Linked DNA regions of Saccharomyces cerevisiae S288C. Changing the gene in region 1 together with any one later gene gives a genetic interaction. Each region holds a gene or a part of one and is shown in the gene's direction. Other genes may lie near its edges.

Evidence for each region.
Region 2: of ILV2 (region 1) and ILV6, changing one suppresses a phenotype caused by changing the other (phenotypic suppression), as found in Saccharomyces cerevisiae (one study listed by BioGRID).
Region 3: of ILV2 (region 1) and GLN3, changing one enhances a phenotype caused by changing the other (phenotypic enhancement), as found in Saccharomyces cerevisiae (one study listed by BioGRID).
Region 4: of ILV2 (region 1) and BAT2, changing one enhances a phenotype caused by changing the other (phenotypic enhancement), as found in Saccharomyces cerevisiae (3 studies listed by BioGRID, with this or other methods).

Annotation. Positions count from the first base shown.
Region 1 is NC_001145.3:482,329-486,647, forward strand, and holds ILV2 (acetolactate synthase catalytic subunit), read left to right. Parts: upstream 1-1,755; coding exon 1,756-3,819; downstream 3,820-4,319. Other genes in the region: SPG4 (Spg4p), read left to right, coding at 686-1,033; MYO5 (myosin 5), read left to right, coding at 4,259-4,319. UniProt on the Saccharomyces cerevisiae protein: Catalytic subunit of mitochondrial acetolactate synthase, which catalyzes the first of a series of common steps in the biosynthesis of the branched-chain amino acids.
Region 2 is NC_001135.5:102,189-107,079, reverse strand, and holds ILV6 (acetolactate synthase regulatory subunit), read left to right. Parts: upstream 1-1,531; coding exon 1,532-2,461; downstream 2,462-4,891. Other genes in the region: VMA9 (H(+)-transporting V0 sector ATPase subunit e), read right to left, coding at 47-57; ubiquitin-binding ESCRT-I subunit protein STP22, read left to right, coding at 227-1,384; SGF29 (Sgf29p), read left to right, coding at 2,730-3,509; GBP2 (single-stranded telomeric DNA-binding/mRNA-binding protein), read left to right, coding at 3,722-4,891. UniProt on the Saccharomyces cerevisiae protein: Regulatory subunit of mitochondrial acetolactate synthase, which catalyzes the first of a series of common steps in the biosynthesis of the branched-chain amino acids.
Region 3 is NC_001137.3:228,217-234,417, forward strand, and holds GLN3 (nitrogen-responsive transcriptional regulator GLN3), read left to right. Parts: upstream 1-1,578; coding exon 1,579-3,771; downstream 3,772-6,201. Other genes in the region: Smc5-Smc6 complex subunit KRE29, read right to left, coding at 1-36; FMP49 (Fmp49p), read left to right, coding at 235-615; HVG1 (putative GDP-mannose transporter), read right to left, coding at 240-989; YER039C-A (uncharacterized protein), read right to left, coding at 1,047-1,265; YEN1 (crossover junction endodeoxyribonuclease), read left to right, coding at 4,245-6,201. UniProt on the Saccharomyces cerevisiae protein: Positive nitrogen regulatory protein. Required for the activation of transcription of a number of genes (including the allantoin pathway genes) in response to the replacement of glutamine by glutamate as source of nitrogen.
Region 4 is NC_001142.9:702,946-708,134, forward strand, and holds BAT2 (branched-chain-amino-acid transaminase BAT2), read left to right. Parts: upstream 1-2,798; coding exon 2,799-3,929; downstream 3,930-5,189. Other genes in the region: 40S ribosomal protein eS4 RPS4A, read right to left, coding at 110-123; YJR146W (uncharacterized protein), read left to right, coding at 940-1,293; HMS2 (Hms2p), read left to right, coding at 1,251-2,327; YJR149W (putative nitronate monooxygenase), read left to right, coding at 4,215-5,189. UniProt on the Saccharomyces cerevisiae protein: Cytoplasmic isozyme of branched-chain-amino-acid aminotransferase, which catalyzes the first reaction in the catabolism of the essential branched chain amino acids (BCAAs) leucine, isoleucine, and valine.

The DNA of each region.
Region 1 (4,319 bases):
ATCAAAGTTTCAATCCTTTGTATTTTCTAGTTTAGCGCCAACTTTTGACAAAACCTAAACTTTAGATAATCATCATTCTTACAATTTTTATCTGGATGGCAATAATCTCCTATATAAAGCCCAGATAAACTGTAAAAAGAATCCATCACTATTTGAAAAAAAGTCATCTGGCACGTTTAATTATCAGAGCAGAAATGATGAAGGGTGTTAGCGCCGTCCACTGATGTGCCTGGTAGTCATGATTTACGTATAACTAACACATCATGAGGACGGCGGCGTCACCCCAACGCAAAAGAGTGACTTCCCTGCGCTTTGCCAAAACCCCATACATCGCCATCTGGCTCCTGGCAGGGCGGTTGATGGACATCAGCCGCCTCCCTTAATTGCTAAAGCCTCCACAAGGCACAATTAAGCAATATTTCGGGAAAGTACACCAGTCAGTTTGCGCTTTTATGACTGGGTTCTAAGGTACTAGATGTGAAGTAGTGGTGACAGAATCAGGGAGATAAGAGGGAGCAGGGTGGGGTAATGATGTGCGATAACAATCTTGCTTGGCTAATCACCCCCATATCTTGTAGTGAGTATATAAATAGGAGCCTCCCTTCCTATTGCAACTCCATAAAATTTTTTTTTGTAGCCACTTCTGTAACAAGATAAATAAAACCAACTAATCGAGATATCAAATATGGGTAGTTTTTGGGACGCATTCGCAGTATACGACAAGAAAAAGCACGCAGATCCAAGTGTATATGGAGGAAACCATAACAACACAGGAGACAGTAAAACGCAGGTTATGTTTTCGAAAGAGTACCGTCAACCTAGGACACATCAGCAAGAGAACTTGCAGAGCATGAGAAGATCTTCCATAGGATCACAGGACAGTTCCGATGTTGAGGACGTTAAGGAAGGGAGATTACCCGCAGAAGTAGAAATACCAAAGAATGTTGACATCTCTAACATGTCGCAAGGTGAGTTTTTAAGACTTTACGAAAGTTTGAGGAGGGGGGAACCCGACAATAAAGTAAATAGATAAATGGAGGAGATATTCATAGTGTCTTTTCTTGTGTTGTCTATTTATTCTAACATGATTATATATTTATTATGCTTTTCAGTGTTTCCATTAGTTTTATATGATAGCATCCTTATGTCTTTTTTCATACCTATATAAGCAATAAGAAGTTATGTAAACAGAACTTTGCCACTAATACCATAATTACTGTCTTTTAGTATCATTGTCTGTCAGTCGGCACGGATGAAAGGTGACAAACGCCTAGCCGCCGGAGCCTGCCGGTACCGGCTTGGCTTCAGTTGCTGATCTCGGCGCGGAAAAATCAGCGCCCCACGCCAAAAGGTTCGTATTTTTTCTTTTTTTTTCTAATCTTCCATCTATTCGGTAGCGATGATTCATTTCTCTGAAAAAAAAAAAAAAAAAAAAAAATGAAAAAGAATATTTTTTTGATGAACTTGTATTTCTCTTATCTGGTTGATATATATGCTATCATTTATTTTCTTATCAAGTTTCCAAATTTCTAATCCTTTCTCCACCATCCCTAATTAATAATTCAGATCTACGTCACACCGTAATTTGTATTGTTTTTTTCCTTCATTGTCTAAAACCGAAGAATTCATCAGCCACAGTTACTAGTTCATTTGAAGCGAAATTACACACATTTTCCCTGTTACAATAGAAAGTATTTTACAAAATCTAAACCCTTTGAGCTAAGAGGAGATAAATACAACAGAATCAATTTTCAAATGATCAGACAATCTACGCTAAAAAACTTCGCTATTAAGCGTTGCTTTCAACATATAGCATACCGCAACACACCTGCCATGAGATCAGTAGCTCTCGCGCAGCGCTTTTATAGTTCGTCTTCCCGTTATTACAGTGCGTCTCCATTACCAGCCTCTAAAAGGCCAGAGCCTGCTCCAAGTTTCAATGTTGATCCATTAGAACAGCCCGCTGAACCTTCAAAATTGGCTAAGAAACTACGCGCTGAGCCTGACATGGATACCTCTTTCGTCGGTTTAACTGGTGGTCAAATATTTAACGAAATGATGTCCAGACAAAACGTTGATACTGTATTTGGTTATCCAGGTGGTGCTATCCTACCTGTTTACGATGCCATTCATAACAGTGATAAATTCAACTTCGTTCTTCCAAAACACGAACAAGGTGCCGGTCACATGGCAGAAGGCTACGCCAGAGCTTCTGGTAAACCAGGTGTTGTCTTGGTTACTTCTGGGCCAGGTGCCACCAATGTCGTTACTCCAATGGCAGATGCCTTTGCAGACGGGATTCCAATGGTTGTCTTTACAGGGCAAGTCCCAACTAGTGCTATCGGTACTGATGCTTTCCAAGAGGCTGACGTCGTTGGTATTTCTAGATCTTGTACGAAATGGAATGTCATGGTCAAGTCCGTGGAAGAATTGCCATTGCGTATTAACGAGGCTTTTGAAATTGCCACGAGCGGTAGACCGGGACCAGTCTTGGTCGATTTACCAAAGGATGTTACAGCAGCTATCTTAAGAAATCCAATTCCAACAAAAACAACTCTTCCATCAAACGCACTAAACCAATTAACCAGTCGCGCACAAGATGAATTTGTCATGCAAAGTATCAATAAAGCAGCAGATTTGATCAACTTGGCAAAGAAACCTGTCTTATACGTCGGTGCTGGTATTTTAAACCATGCAGATGGTCCAAGATTACTAAAAGAATTAAGTGACCGTGCTCAAATACCTGTCACCACTACTTTACAAGGTTTAGGTTCATTCGACCAAGAAGATCCAAAATCATTGGATATGCTTGGTATGCACGGTTGTGCTACTGCCAACCTGGCAGTGCAAAATGCCGACTTGATAATTGCAGTTGGTGCTAGATTCGACGACCGTGTCACTGGTAATATTTCTAAATTCGCTCCAGAAGCTCGTCGTGCAGCTGCCGAGGGTAGAGGTGGTATTATTCATTTCGAGGTTAGTCCAAAAAACATAAACAAGGTTGTTCAAACTCAAATAGCAGTGGAAGGTGATGCTACGACCAATCTGGGCAAAATGATGTCAAAGATTTTCCCAGTTAAGGAGAGGTCTGAATGGTTTGCTCAAATAAATAAATGGAAGAAGGAATACCCATACGCTTATATGGAGGAGACTCCAGGATCTAAAATTAAACCACAGACGGTTATAAAGAAACTATCCAAGGTTGCCAACGACACAGGAAGACATGTCATTGTTACAACGGGTGTGGGGCAACATCAAATGTGGGCTGCTCAACACTGGACATGGAGAAATCCACATACTTTCATCACATCAGGTGGTTTAGGTACGATGGGTTACGGTCTCCCTGCCGCCATCGGTGCTCAAGTTGCAAAGCCAGAATCTTTGGTTATTGACATTGATGGTGACGCATCCTTTAACATGACTCTAACGGAATTGAGTTCTGCCGTTCAAGCTGGTACTCCAGTGAAGATTTTGATTTTGAACAATGAAGAGCAAGGTATGGTTACTCAATGGCAATCCCTGTTCTACGAACATCGTTATTCCCACACACATCAATTGAACCCTGATTTCATAAAACTAGCGGAGGCTATGGGTTTAAAAGGTTTAAGAGTCAAGAAGCAAGAGGAATTGGACGCTAAGTTGAAAGAATTCGTTTCTACCAAGGGCCCAGTTTTGCTTGAAGTGGAAGTTGATAAAAAAGTTCCTGTTTTGCCAATGGTGGCAGGTGGTAGCGGTCTAGACGAGTTCATAAATTTTGACCCAGAAGTTGAAAGACAACAGACTGAATTACGTCATAAGCGTACAGGCGGTAAGCACTGAATTTCAAAAACATTTATTTCAAAAGCATTTTCAGTAAAAAATGCAGACTTTATTATTATTTAATCGTGCTTCTTATATATGACATTCTACCAAATCGGTAGTCATGTATATTTTTTTCGTATATACTTTATATATTTTTTTCTAAAAAACTAATGACGGCTAAAATTAAGTCATAGATGAATAATAAGTTCAATTCAAGTGAGTTGGTAGTATTTGATAAATCTAAAGTGGATACGTAGCATATGTATTCAAATGGTGTGTTTTAACTCGTCGGACACGACTTCTTTCTCGTTTTGTCAATCATCAAAAATATTTCTCGAAAAGGGGCCGTCAAAAATTGCAAGCTTGGAAAATACAAACTGGACTATGTATTTAAAGGTTATAGTTTATAATAAAGCATAAGAACAGTGGCCAATACGAATTTAACCGCTTTATAGAAATGGCTATCTTAAAAAGAGGAGCTAGAAAAAAGGTACATCAGGAGCCAGCTAAACGCTCTG
Region 2 (4,891 bases), on another chromosome or scaffold:
AAGAAGGAAGAAAAGGGAAGCGGAGAGAAGAGATTATGACACATACAAACTACTCATTACTCTTTGTTCTTTATTATTCGTTGGACCTTTGTTTCTTAAAGTATAGATAAAAGGTCAAAAAATGTAGTAGTCTTTTTTCACAGAGCGAGAATAAAAAGTTACGGCAAAATTTTGTGGGCAGTTGGTATCTTAACGGCCAAGAAAAGAGAGAGAGTGAAGAGCAACGATGTCTGCAAACGGCAAGATCTCTGTTCCCGAGGCGGTGGTCAATTGGCTGTTCAAAGTCATTCAACCCATTTATAACGACGGAAGAACAACTTTCCACGATTCTTTAGCGCTGCTGGACAATTTTCACAGTTTAAGGCCAAGAACAAGGGTATTTACGCACTCTGACGGCACTCCACAACTACTGTTGTCCATATATGGTACCATTAGTACTGGTGAGGATGGTTCATCTCCTCACAGTATTCCTGTGATCATGTGGGTACCCAGTATGTACCCGGTAAAACCTCCCTTTATAAGTATAAACTTGGAAAATTTCGACATGAACACCATCAGTAGTTCCTTGCCCATTCAAGAATACATCGACTCCAATGGGTGGATTGCGCTGCCCATACTCCACTGCTGGGATCCTGCCGCGATGAACCTTATAATGGTCGTACAAGAATTAATGAGTCTCTTACACGAGCCGCCACAAGATCAGGCGCCCAGTCTACCCCCTAAGCCCAATACGCAGCTCCAGCAGGAGCAGAATACTCCCCCACTGCCCCCAAAGCCCAAGTCTCCACACCTAAAACCGCCATTGCCTCCACCTCCACCACCTCAACCGGCATCTAACGCACTCGACCTTATGGACATGGACAACACGGATATCTCCCCAACCAACCATCATGAAATGCTACAAAATCTACAAACCGTAGTCAATGAGTTATACAGAGAGGATGTGGACTATGTAGCGGACAAGATACTGACGAGACAGACCGTCATGCAAGAATCAATTGCCAGATTCCATGAAATAATCGCCATCGACAAGAACCATTTACGAGCCGTTGAGCAGGCTATTGAGCAGACCATGCACTCGCTAAACGCACAGATAGACGTCCTGACCGCAAATAGGGCCAAAGTCCAACAGTTTAGCTCAACTTCGCATGTGGATGACGAGGACGTGAACTCCATAGCAGTGGCCAAAACAGATGGACTCAATCAACTATACAACCTCGTTGCCCAGGACTACGCTCTCACGGACACCATTGAGTGCTTATCTAGGATGCTGCACCGTGGCACCATTCCCCTCGATACTTTTGTCAAGCAAGGTCGTGAATTAGCACGCCAGCAATTCCTTGTGCGATGGCACATCCAACGAATCACCTCACCGTTATCGTGACTCACTTTCTTTCGCATCGCCGAAGTGCCATAAAAAATATTTTTTTAACCTTTACCTAACAAGAACGGGGAATGGTATATATGGAAGTACATAGTTCGTATATACAGAATCTTTAGAACATCTGAGCTCACTAACCCAGTCTTTCTAATGCTGAGATCGTTATTGCAAAGCGGCCACCGCAGGGTGGTTGCTTCTTCATGTGCTACCATGGTGCGTTGCAGTTCCTCGTCGACCTCCGCGTTGGCGTACAAGCAGATGCACAGACACGCAACAAGACCTCCCTTGCCCACACTAGACACTCCTTCCTGGAATGCCAACAGTGCCGTTTCATCCATCATTTACGAAACACCAGCGCCTTCTCGTCAACCAAGAAAACAGCATGTCTTGAACTGTTTGGTGCAAAACGAACCCGGTGTCTTGTCCAGAGTCTCGGGTACGTTAGCTGCCAGAGGCTTTAACATCGATTCGTTGGTCGTGTGCAACACCGAGGTCAAAGACCTAAGTAGAATGACCATTGTTTTGCAAGGGCAAGATGGCGTAGTCGAACAAGCACGCAGACAAATCGAAGACTTGGTCCCCGTCTACGCCGTCCTAGACTATACCAATTCTGAGATCATCAAAAGAGAGCTAGTGATGGCCAGAATCTCTCTATTGGGTACTGAATACTTCGAAGACCTACTATTGCACCACCACACTTCCACCAATGCTGGCGCCGCTGACTCCCAAGAATTGGTCGCCGAAATCAGAGAAAAGCAATTCCACCCTGCCAACTTGCCCGCCAGTGAGGTATTAAGGTTGAAGCACGAGCATTTGAACGATATCACCAACTTGACCAACAACTTTGGAGGTCGTGTCGTCGACATCAGCGAAACAAGCTGTATTGTGGAGTTGTCTGCAAAACCCACACGTATCTCTGCCTTCTTGAAGTTGGTCGAGCCATTCGGTGTCCTAGAGTGTGCAAGAAGCGGTATGATGGCATTGCCAAGAACTCCTTTGAAGACAAGCACCGAGGAAGCTGCCGACGAAGACGAAAAGATCAGCGAAATCGTCGACATTTCCCAACTACCACCTGGTTAGGTTAGTCTCTCGGCCTTGCGATCGCCCTCGGGACTCTCCTCTATACATCTATATAACGTATCTATAACCATGAGCCTATTTACTCATAAGTTGCTATGATTGTACGTTTGTACGAGGTGACGCGTTACTAAACTATTTTTTTCTTTTGGTTTTCTGCTTTCCTCTTCGATTTTGCCAGATACGAAAAAGGTTAAAGACACAATACCTTGGTGGCTTCTCTAAGTGGGGGGAGTTTTTCACAGCAAAACACACGGTCACCTTTCTTATTATGGACGGATATTGGGATGTTGTAGTGTCGTCCTTGCAAGACATATACAATGCCAACGAGGTCATTCCCTTTGATGATGAGCTGCAAACAAAAAAACTAAATTTCCTTAATATGTCAAAGGATCAGCTGCAATTGCATCTCAACACTTTCCAAGAACACATGGAAAACGTCAACAGAGTGCACCGAATCCTTGACAATGTACGTTCCAATTTGTCGTTGATGTTGAATCAGTCACGAGAGGAAAAGAGTGAGGAAAATACTGAAGATGCAGAAGAAGGAGAAGGGACACGCATGGCATTGTCGCAGGGCAAGAAAGCTGTGGGGAAAGTTGGCAGATCGTACTGGACCAGCGAATACAACCCAAATGCACCTATTTTGGTGGGCTCAGAGGTTGCCTATAAGCCCAGAAGGGGCAGTGCCGACGGCGAATGGATACAGTGTGAAGTACTCAAAGTCGTAGCAGATGGTACACGATTTGAAGTGAGAGATCCTGAACCTGATGAATTGGGCAACTCAGGCAAGGTGTATAAATGTAATCGGAAAGAACTACTGTTGATCCCGCCAGGCTTTCCCACTAAGAACTACCCGCCAGGTACTAAGGTTCTGGCAAGATATCCTGAAACGACCACTTTTTATCCTGCAATTGTCATCGGAACCAAGAGGGACGGCACTTGCAGGCTTCGATTTGATGGTGAAGAGGAAGTGGACAAAGAGACGGAAGTGACTCGCCGTCTAGTGCTGCCTTCGCCAACGGCTTTGGCAAACCTAGCAAGGAAATAGCAATGGTGGTTAACATTTACTACATATCATAAGATCTTCTCATGGCATTTTGTCATTATTTTGGTATCGTCGGAAGTGATGTATTCACTTGAAGGTGAAAAAAATTGAAAAAAAATGAAAGCTTGGATGAAATCAATTATATTGAGGATTTCCCATTAGAAATAAGCTATGGGCGAAAAGGAAACAAACATCAGCTGGATTTTTTCGCCAAGATGGAGAGAGAGCTAGGGATGTATGGAAATGATAGGAGTAGATCAAGATCACCTGTACGTCGTCGTTTGAGCGACGACAGAGACAGGTACGATGATTATAACGATAGTAGCAGTAATAATGGTAATGGCAGTCGTCGTCAGAGACGCGACCGAGGCTCCCGTTTCAATGATCGGTACGATCAGAGTTATGGTGGCAGCCGCTACCACGATGATAGGAACTGGCCCCCTCGCCGAGGAGGCCGTGGCAGAGGAGGAAGCAGATCATTCAGAGGGGGACGCGGTGGCGGTAGGGGTCGTACTTTAGGTCCAATTGTTGAAAGAGACTTAGAAAGGCAATTTGACGCGACCAAGAGAAATTTTGAAAATAGTATCTTCGTGAGAAACTTGACTTTTGATTGTACCCCTGAAGACCTTAAGGAATTGTTTGGTACAGTGGGCGAAGTTGTGGAGGCTGACATTATCACATCAAAGGGCCATCACCGTGGTATGGGGACTGTGGAATTTACCAAAAACGAATCTGTCCAAGATGCCATATCGAAGTTTGATGGTGCCCTCTTTATGGACCGGAAACTAATGGTAAGACAGGATAATCCTCCTCCTGAAGCTGCCAAGGAATTTTCTAAGAAAGCTACTAGGGAAGAAATAGATAATGGGTTTGAAGTGTTCATCATCAATTTACCGTACTCTATGAATTGGCAATCCTTAAAAGATATGTTTAAAGAATGTGGTCATGTCTTGCGTGCCGATGTAGAATTGGATTTCAACGGATTTTCAAGAGGATTCGGTTCTGTCATTTATCCTACTGAGGATGAAATGATTAGAGCTATCGATACATTCAACGGCATGGAAGTAGAAGGTAGAGTTTTGGAAGTTAGAGAAGGGCGTTTCAACAAGAGAAAGAACAATGATCGTTATAATCAAAGGCGTGAGGACCTTGAAGATACCAGAGGTACTGAACCAGGTCTTGCGCAGGATGCCGCTGTCCACATTGATGAAACTGCAGCAAAATTTACTGAAGGTGTCAATCCAGGAGGGGATAGAAACTGTTTCATTTATTGTAGTAATTTACCATTCTCAACAGCAAGAAGCGATTTATTCGACTTGTTTGGGCCTATCGGCAAAATCAATAACGCGGAATTGAAACCACAGGAAAATGGTCAACCAACTGGT
Region 3 (6,201 bases), on another chromosome or scaffold:
AAACTCTTCATTCGGTGATGAGTTCACGCTTCCCATTTGTGACACTGCCCTTTTGTGCGTCTAACAAAATTTTATCACTTTATTGCTATTTACTTGAAAAATTATATATGAATATATTTCATAAAACGATGCTGACATAATATGTAACATAAAAAAAGGAATAACCTAAAACAAATACAAAGAAGACCCCATATAAATGAATATAAATGTATATTTTGCTTGAGCAAATGAAGAATGTACTACTTCTCAAGAGTAGCTGCTAGAACTTTTTGCTGTTGTATCTTTTTCTGTTTAGCCACAGCGTACAGCAGGCCAGACAGAAATCCTAGAAAGATAGAAAAGAAGGACAAAAAGTTTTTTGGAGCGTCAAAGAACACCAATCCCGCCAACGCTATGGGCAATTTGTTCAAAGCACCAACCATAGAATACGTTGTAGAGGAAGTTACACGAACACACCAGCCGGAACAGTACGATATCCCCACGGACATGAGCCCACTGATGACCATTGCTGCCAGTGAGTCGGCGGACAAGTTCACAGACAAATTCTTTGTGGACCAATCTTCCATAATGAAGGAAAAGACTAGCAGCAAAGGCAATGCCAGAACGTTGTTATAAAACATAGTATCATAGTCTTTAAAGTTAGTCAGCCGAATTCTCTTCCGCATAATCAAAACGAACAATGCAGACGAAATACAATTGGTGAACATCCAGAGGTACCCCGGATTCAACACAAAGATGGTTGACTCAACAAGTTCCTGATCGAGATCCTCCAAAGATGATGCTTTGATTGCAATGGCCTGCTGATCGCCCCAGGTGGCCACTACAGATGAAAGGACCATCATAATAAATGACGTCAACTCCATAGAAGTGACTTTTCCGCCAAAGAAGAGGACCTCGCCATAAGCAATGAGAATGATCGTCAGATTCTTGAAAATTGTGTAGATGGGCACGGCAAGGTATTGTAAGCTCTTTGACGACGTATAAATCATCAATACGAGCAGCAAAGAAATTGGAAACCAGTTTTTTACATCTGTCCTGTTCAAAGATCAAAAATTAGCAACGCCTACAATTCGTAGGATACATAGCGTCACAGTGCACACCAGTGATTGTACAAACAACATCACAAAGTTCATGTTAAAGTTGTCCAGGTTAACCACGAATTTGTTCGTTACTGTCATCAAAATCGAGGACGCGCAGTAAGATAAGATTGAAGCCGGCCCAGAGTTGGCCACTGATTCCGTCCATTCATGCTTATGCTTGCTCATAATTACCACACCTTCTTGATCTCTTTACAGCTTTTCAACCTTCCATTCTTGTACTCTATCTCTACCTGGCCCTTTAAACATTCTTAATATGATATATTCACATTTTTTGCTCTATTACCCGGCGGACAGGTTCCCGAAAGAAAGTGACATGGCAATGCTGAGAGAGTGGAAAGAGTCATCTTGCAAGACAGAGAAAGATGTTCAAGAGTGGTAAGCTAATGTCAGCGCAGTAGCCCATCCCACAATAACAGAGTGTGTAAGAAAGAGAGACGAGAGAGAGCACAGGGCCCCCTTTTCCCCCACCAACAAACAAATGCAAGACGACCCCGAAAATTCGAAGCTGTACGACCTGCTGAATAGTCATCTGGACGTGCATGGTCGAAGTAATGAAGAGCCGAGACAAACTGGTGACAGTAGGAGCCAGAGTAGTGGCAACACCGGTGAAAACGAGGAGGATATAGCATTTGCCAGTGGATTAAACGGCGGCACATTCGACTCAATGCTGGAGGCACTGCCCGATGATTTATATTTTACGGACTTCGTGTCTCCTTTTACAGCAGCTGCCACGACCAGCGTGACTACTAAGACGGTCAAGGACACCACACCAGCTACCAATCATATGGATGATGATATTGCGATGTTTGATTCACTTGCCACAACTCAGCCCATCGACATAGCCGCATCCAACCAACAAAATGGTGAAATTGCACAACTTTGGGACTTTAACGTGGACCAATTCAACATGACGCCCAGCAACTCGAGCGGTTCAGCTACTATTAGTGCTCCTAACAGCTTTACTTCCGACATACCGCAATACAACCACGGTTCCCTCGGCAACAGCGTCTCCAAATCCTCACTGTTCCCGTATAATTCCAGCACGTCCAACAGCAACATCAACCAGCCATCTATCAATAACAACTCAAATACTAATGCGCAGTCCCACCATTCCTTCAACATCTACAAACTACAAAACAACAACTCATCTTCATCCGCTATGAACATTACCAATAATAATAATAGCAACAATAGTAATATCCAGCATCCTTTTCTGAAGAAGAGCGATTCGATAGGATTATCTTCATCCAACACAACAAATTCTGTAAGAAAAAACTCACTTATCAAGCCAATGTCGTCCACGTCCCTGGCCAATTTCAAAAGAGCTGCCTCAGTATCTTCCAGTATATCCAATATGGAACCATCAGGACAAAATAAAAAACCTCTGATACAATGTTTCAATTGTAAAACTTTCAAGACACCGCTTTGGAGGAGAAGCCCAGAGGGGAATACTCTTTGCAATGCCTGCGGTCTTTTCCAGAAATTACATGGTACCATGAGGCCATTATCCTTAAAATCGGACGTTATCAAAAAGAGGATTTCAAAGAAGAGAGCCAAACAAACGGACCCAAACATTGCACAAAATACTCCAAGTGCACCTGCAACTGCCTCAACTTCAGTAACCACTACAAATGCTAAACCCATACGATCGAGGAAAAAATCACTACAACAAAACTCTTTATCTAGAGTGATACCTGAAGAAATCATTAGAGACAACATCGGTAATACTAATAATATCCTTAATGTAAATAGGGGAGGCTATAACTTCAACTCAGTCCCCTCCCCGGTCCTCATGAACAGCCAATCGTATAATAGTAGTAACGCAAATTTTAATGGAGCAAGCAATGCAAATTTGAATTCTAATAACTTAATGCGTCACAATTCGAACACTGTTACTCCTAATTTTAGAAGGTCTTCAAGACGAAGTAGTACTTCATCGAACACCTCAAGTTCCAGTAAATCTTCATCCAGATCTGTTGTTCCGATATTACCAAAACCTTCACCTAATAGCGCTAATTCACAGCAGTTCAACATGAACATGAACCTAATGAACACAACAAATAATGTAAGTGCAGGAAATAGTGTCGCATCCTCACCAAGAATTATATCGTCCGCAAACTTTAACTCAAATAGTCCTCTACAGCAGAATCTATTATCAAATTCTTTCCAACGTCAAGGAATGAATATACCAAGAAGAAAGATGTCGCGCAATGCATCGTACTCCTCATCGTTTATGGCTGCGTCTTTGCAACAACTGCACGAACAGCAACAAGTGGACGTGAATTCCAACACAAACACGAATTCGAATAGACAGAATTGGAATTCAAGCAATAGCGTTTCAACAAATTCAAGATCATCAAATTTTGTCTCTCAAAAGCCAAATTTTGATATTTTTAATACTCCTGTAGATTCACCGAGTGTCTCAAGACCTTCTTCAAGAAAATCACATACCTCATTGTTATCACAACAATTGCAGAACTCGGAGTCGAATTCGTTTATCTCAAATCACAAATTTAACAATAGATTATCAAGTGACTCTACTTCACCTATAAAATATGAAGCAGATGTGAGTGCAGGCGGAAAGATCAGTGAGGATAATTCCACAAAAGGATCTTCTAAAGAAAGTTCAGCAATTGCTGACGAATTGGATTGGTTAAAATTTGGTATATGACCGCGTATTATCATTATCATTATTCTTATTATGTTAATAATTACTGAACGGTTGCATTGATAGATTTTCATTACCTCTGACCACAATCCTGAGCATTGGTATTATTTGTTTTGCTATTTTCAGATCAAATTACTTGTAAAAAAAGAAATGGTAGTATATTGGCATTGAACACTGGCTGTTCTATTTGTATTACTTTTATGTGTAGACATATATTATTAGGAATTTGTAATATCACTCTAATTATTATTTGGTATTCTTTCTCTATCTCCCCTGTTTCTTTTGTCTATCTCTTTCTTTTTTTTTTTTAAACGGCCCTTTTTTAATGGCATTTTCTTTTTCTTATAATGCCCACAGTTGAATAATTTAACTAGCTTTTGACTGACACATAAACAATAATGTATATGGTCCATCCAATGAAATGACAGTTCTATTGCATTTTACCTACTTGTATATTCTGGATACTGCACAAGAAAATGGGTGTCTCACAAATATGGGAATTTTTGAAGCCATATCTGCAAGATTCCAGAATTCCGTTGAGAAAGTTTGTCATAGACTTTAATAAATCGCAAAAAAGAGCTCCAAGAATCGCGATTGACGCATATGGATGGCTATTTGAGTGTGGATTTATCCAAAATATAGATATAAGCGCCAGATCTAGATCAAGATCAAGGAGTCCTACCCGTTCTCCGCGTGATAGTGATATCGACAGTAGTCAAGAATATTATGGTAGCAGAAGTTATACAACTACAGGAAAAGCTGTGATAAACTTCATATCTCGATTAAAAGAACTACTGAGTTTAAACGTCGAATTCTTGCTTGTATTTGACGGAGTTATGAAACCCTCTTTCAAAAGGAAATTTAACCACGAACAGAACGCTACTACTTGTGATGATGAGAAAGAGTACTATTCAAGCTGGGAACAGCATGTTAAGAATCATGAAGTTTATGGCAATTGTAAAGGATTGCTAGCGCCATCTGACCCTGAGTTCATCAGTCTTGTACGGAAATTATTAGACTTGATGAACATTTCATATGTAATCGCATGTGGGGAGGGAGAAGCCCAGTGTGTTTGGCTGCAAGTTTCTGGGGCTGTAGATTTCATTTTAAGTAACGATTCAGATACTCTCGTATTTGGGGGAGAAAAAATCCTGAAAAATTACTCGAAATTCTACGATGATTTTGGCCCAAGTTCAATAACTTCCCACAGTCCCAGTAGACATCATGATAGTAAAGAATCTTTTGTTACTGTTATAGATCTACCCAAAATTAATAAAGTAGCAGGGAAGAAGTTTGATCGCCTGTCTCTCTTATTTTTCAGCGTGCTATTAGGTGCCGATTACAATCGTGGAGTCAAGGGTTTGGGTAAAAACAAATCTTTGCAGTTGGCTCAATGCGAAGATCCTAACTTTTCCATGGAATTTTATGACATTTTCAAAGATTTCAATTTAGAAGATTTGACATCAGAAAGTCTGAGGAAGTCTCGGTATAGATTGTTTCAAAAAAGATTATATTTATACTGCAAGGATCATTCTGTCGAGCTATTTGGAAGAAATTATCCTGTTTTATTGAATCAAGGTTCATTTGAAGGCTGGCCATCAACTGTCGCAATCATGCACTATTTTCACCCCATTGTCCAACCATATTTTGATGAAGAAGTTCTCAGTGATAAATACATAAATATGGCTGGAAACGGACACTACAGAAACTTAAATTTCAATGAACTGAAATATTTTTTACAAAGTTTGAATTTGCCTCAAATTTCTAGCTTCGACAAGTGGTTTCATGATTCTATGCACGAGATGTTTCTATTAAGAGAATTTTTATCAATTGATGAGTCCGATAATATAGGTAAAGGTAATATGAGGATTACCGAAGAAAAAATTATGAACATAGATGGTGGAAAGTTCCAAATACCATGTTTTAAAATACGGTATACAACATTCTTGCCTAATATACCCATTTCTTCTCAATCTCCTTTGAAGCGCAGTAATTCTCCCAGTAGAAGCAAGAGTCCCACACGACGTCAGATGGATATAATGGAACACCCAAATAGTCTTTGGTTACCCAAATACTTGATACCTCAATCGCATCCATTAGTAATTCAATATTATGAGACACAGCAACTTATACAGAAAGAAAAAGAGAAGAAAGGTAAAAAATCGAATAAGTCTCGGCTACCACAGAAGAATAACTTGGATGAGTTTTTAAGAAAGCATACTTCGCCGATTAAAAGTATCGGAAAGGTAGGCGAGTCGAGAAAGGAAATCCTGGAACCTGTGAGAAAAAGGCTTTTTGTAGATACAGACGAAGATACTAGTCTGGAAGAAATACCGGCTCCCACAAGACTGACCACCGTCGATGAACACAGCGATAATGACGATGATTCGTTGATTTTTGTAGATGAGATTACAAACAGCCAAAGCGTTTTAG
Region 4 (5,189 bases), on another chromosome or scaffold:
AACTGGTTCATTGTTGTTCCTATTCGTTTGGTTAAGACTCCACTTGTTTCTTGTCTATCATTCTTCTCATCCTTGCGTAATTATAATCAAAGTCTATAGTCAAACATACGGTCCTCTAGCCATCTTTGCGTATTGATTCTTTGGTTTGTTTTGGGCAGAAAAATCGCTATATAAGAAAGTATTTCAACACTAGATTAAATTATAGTATAATTTTTAATATACTAGTATTGCCGACAATCTCTGAAATTTCAATACTACCACACAGAACAGGACTTGCCAGGGCCAGTCCGAGCCAGCCTAACTCCAAGACCACGTACTAAGTGAATTGCTACTCCCCCTTACCACGACTACAAAGAGCTACACGGCCTCCCGGCCTAGGCCGCTGCTACTTTCAACTGATGTCACCGAAAAAAATAACGGAAAACGACAGTTCAAGAAAAAAAGAACGCAGGAAGAAAAAGGAAGCAAAATTACAGAATGTACGGCTGTTTAAAAATAAATAGTGGATGCATGGGTGCTTCCACGCGTCTCTGGGAAAAAAAACCAGGATATTTTAATGTTTGTTTATTTGTTTATTTCCTGCTGAACTGAATATTGAAAACATCGAAAAAATGCAGTACCCAGCTCTCCATTAGGACTTTTTACGTAATGACGAAAATGGACAAGCTGCGCAGGAAAGGACTACGAAAAGTATGCTGCCATAATGACAAGATAAGGCGCAACACACGTAATCATGACTAATGGTTGCACAGACGGTAGGCCAGGAGAAGGATTAGATCTCGTGCCGAACGACAGCAAGCTAGCTAGACTATGTTATCTGAGTGTAAACGAAAGCGCAGCAGTCTCTGCAAGAGCACGTGCGACGTGTCTGGTGTGCAAAAACCCTCTAGAGAAACATTGCTAAGGTTTACCGATGCAGGAAATCTTTAGTTCTAAAAGATGAAAGTCGGAAAAGCCAAAAAGAAACCGGAAATCTTCTCTGCGCATTGTTCTGTGGCCACGGCCTTCCTGGACCCGTCCTTCTTTTACCCGAACTTTGTCGCCCAAAAGGCATCTCATTATAATGACAAAACTGGATCTGCAAATATTTGGACATATATCTCCAGAACGGGCTCACTTCTCCTCTTCACCCAGGTGGTATATAGGAAGAGTAAGTGGACGCATCAGTCCGCGACATTTGCGGACTGTATATATTGCCAGTCAGGGCAGTCGCCAAGTGTGTCTCTTTCGTGTAGCGACGCACGTCAGACATGGATGCAACATCGAGGATGGAGCAGCCTGATGTCTTTGTAAGCAAACTCTACCACCTGCTGCAGGGGAACGCTTACTCGAACATAATACAATGGTCGACTGATGGCAGCAAGCTCGTCATTTGGAATCCGGACCAGTTCACCAAAGTCATCCTAGAGCGATTTTTTGGTATTCACACCTTTGCAGCATTCGTTAAGCAATTGAGCAAATATAACTTCCAGAAGGCGGGCCGCCCGGACTGCGTGGAGTTTTCCAACATTCATTTTCAAAAAGATAACATTAATAGCCTCTCACTGGTTAAAGCTCATCAGTCTGCCGCCACTCCCAATGTCGCCGCCGTCAATAATATGAATAAGCAGTGTACTTTTCACTGGGACCCTTTCAAAGTGAACTCCATTCTAAGCAAGGCCATCGGCAAGCCTTCCTTCGAGAAATTAGTGAAAAATGTTGACAGGCTTCAGGGCAATCTTGATGAGCTTAAGTCGACAAACGCAGATAGTCTGCGTATTATAAGGGAAATTAACGCCAGCTTACAGACAATCTCCTACCACCAGTTTCACGCCTACCAAACCGCTAACTTCCTTCAAGAAAATTTTGAAGCCATCAAAAAGGTTGTATGCCCGGACTCTTGTCTACAACACCAGCAACGCCAACCAAAGCGCCCCAAACGCTACTCGTTGCTGTTACTAATACCAAACGCATCCGAATTGTCAGAAACACCTTTGATGCGCTTCGCCGGCGTGTTCGAATTTATGAACTGCTCTTTGGATACGGCCACTCAGTGGCACCCGCAGTTGCATCCCGAGGCATACGACCTTCTTTTCGTCACCGTGTCGCCCAACATGCAACAAGAACATCTCATCTACTTCAAGAGACTGAGAAACCTACTCCCAAGCTTTCCTGTAATAGCCATTATTAACAGACCCGTCTCCCCTCAAGATACCAGCATTGCTCCCTCCAACTACTCTCGCTATTATTTCCACCATTTTTTGCAGTTGGGGTTCAGTGACATCCTAGTTAGCCCCTTCACCCCAACACAACTTATAACGCTCCTTTCCAAACATCTTCGAACGTGAAAACCTGCCTCTGAGGGTCATTCACGACCTAGCATACCACTATATACGTGTACGATTTTTTTTTTCTGTGACCGCACTACACCAAAGTTTAATGTTCCATTGGCCCCGGAACCATTCTTGCAAACGGCGTTCTTTTTCCGCTTTCGGGTGACACTTAATTTAGCTTCTTTTCCCTCTCTGACACCTCTTGTTATCTAATCTGTAGATCCGACTCTTTTTCTTTTTGGTGTCGTTCTTCTATGTCCGTTTTTCTGTCAACAAAAACGGAAATAATAGGTAGAAATTAAGAGCCGTACGTGAGTGAGAGGAGATCCGAAATGAGCTGACAGTATAACTAATATAAGCTTACAAGATATTCGACTATTTCCTGGGAAAAAATTCATTCCTTTGAGAAATCCTTAATAAAAACAGACTAACTACTAAAATTTTAGAAATTTAAGGGAAAGCATCTCCACGAGTTTTAAGAACGATATGACCTTGGCACCCCTAGACGCCTCCAAAGTTAAGATAACTACCACACAACATGCATCTAAGCCAAAACCGAACAGTGAGTTAGTGTTTGGCAAGAGCTTCACGGACCACATGTTAACTGCGGAATGGACAGCTGAAAAAGGGTGGGGTACCCCAGAGATTAAACCTTATCAAAATCTGTCTTTAGACCCTTCCGCGGTGGTTTTCCATTATGCTTTTGAGCTATTCGAAGGGATGAAGGCTTACAGAACGGTGGACAACAAAATTACAATGTTTCGTCCAGATATGAATATGAAGCGCATGAATAAGTCTGCTCAGAGAATCTGTTTGCCAACGTTCGACCCAGAAGAGTTGATTACCCTAATTGGGAAACTGATCCAGCAAGATAAGTGCTTAGTTCCTGAAGGAAAAGGTTACTCTTTATATATCAGGCCTACATTAATCGGCACTACGGCCGGTTTAGGGGTTTCCACGCCTGATAGAGCCTTGCTATATGTCATTTGCTGCCCTGTGGGTCCTTATTACAAAACTGGATTTAAGGCGGTCAGACTGGAAGCCACTGATTATGCCACAAGAGCTTGGCCAGGAGGCTGTGGTGACAAGAAACTAGGTGCAAACTACGCCCCCTGCGTCCTGCCACAATTGCAAGCTGCTTCAAGGGGTTACCAACAAAATTTATGGCTATTTGGTCCAAATAACAACATTACTGAAGTCGGCACCATGAATGCTTTTTTCGTGTTTAAAGATAGTAAAACGGGCAAGAAGGAACTAGTTACTGCTCCACTAGACGGTACCATTTTGGAAGGTGTTACTAGGGATTCCATTTTAAATCTTGCTAAAGAAAGACTCGAACCAAGTGAATGGACCATTAGTGAACGCTACTTCACTATAGGCGAAGTTACTGAGAGATCCAAGAACGGTGAACTACTTGAAGCCTTTGGTTCTGGTACTGCTGCGATTGTTTCTCCCATTAAGGAAATCGGCTGGAAAGGCGAACAAATTAATATTCCGTTGTTGCCCGGCGAACAAACCGGTCCATTGGCCAAAGAAGTTGCACAATGGATTAATGGAATCCAATATGGCGAGACTGAGCATGGCAATTGGTCAAGGGTTGTTACTGATTTGAACTGAAGTATCGCTATTGCTACGTAAAGTAATTAAAAGTTAAAAAGAATAAAACTAGAGCGTTTTTTCTACTGAGTTAAGGGGTCATGTCAGAATATAACATACCCTTTGACATTGTATATATGAATTCCTGGATTTTGCAGTGATCTGATAAAAAATGTATGTCGAAACCTGCAATTATCCTTTCGTTTTTTTTCTTGTCATCTAGTGCTGGCCTATCGGTATCAAGGACATCTTTTGCGCGGATAGAAAAGGGCCCATACATACCTTAGAAGCAACTCAAGACAATTCATGTACTTTTTAAACCAACTAATATTTCAAGACGTTTCCGTAATGTCGGTGGATAAAAGAGAAGATATGAGCAGATCTTTCCAAAAATGTTTAAACTTGAGATACCCTATCATCCAGGCCCCTATGGCGGGGGTCACGACTATTGAAATGGCCGCTAAGGCTTGTATTGCGGGCGCCATAGCTTCACTACCCCTATCCCACTTAGACTTCAGAAAGGTCAATGATATTGAAAAGCTTAAACTGATGGTTTCACAATTCAGAGATCAAGTAGCCGATGAATCTTTAGAGGGCAATCTCAACCTAAACTTTTTTTGCCATGATATCGTTGATAAACCGACCGATCTTCAAACAGCTAACTGGGCGAAGCTATACAGAAAGTCTATGAATGTGCCGATTGATATGAATGAGATTAAATTCGATAATGGTAATGTATCTTTTAAGGCATTTGAAAAAGAAAATGCTCTTCAAGATTTTTTCCAGTACCTATCAGATGGCTTTAGGCCTAAAATCATTAGTTTCCATTTTGGCCATCCGTCGAAATCTACAATAGAATATTTACAAAAAATTGGAATTCTAATTTTTGTGACTGCCACCTCTGTAAGAGAAGTTCGATTGTTAGCACGTCTCGGCATTAATGGCATAGTGTGTCAAGGCTATGAAGCGGGAGGACATAGAGGAAATTTCTTAGTAAATGACCCCAAAGATGATGAAAACTTATCAACTGTACAATTGGTGAAAAGAACAGTTGATGAACTTGCTGAAATGAAAAATAAAGGTCTTATACATGCTACTCCCTTTGTCATTGCAGCAGGTGGTATAATGGATTCCAAAGATATATCATACATGTTATCACAGCAAGCAGACGCTGTTCAAGTGGGGACTGCTTTTCTTGGTTGCAGTGAATCCAATGCATCAAAAAACTTTTCAAGCCCCTTCACTCGAGAAACAACAACTAAAATGGTTAATATAATATCA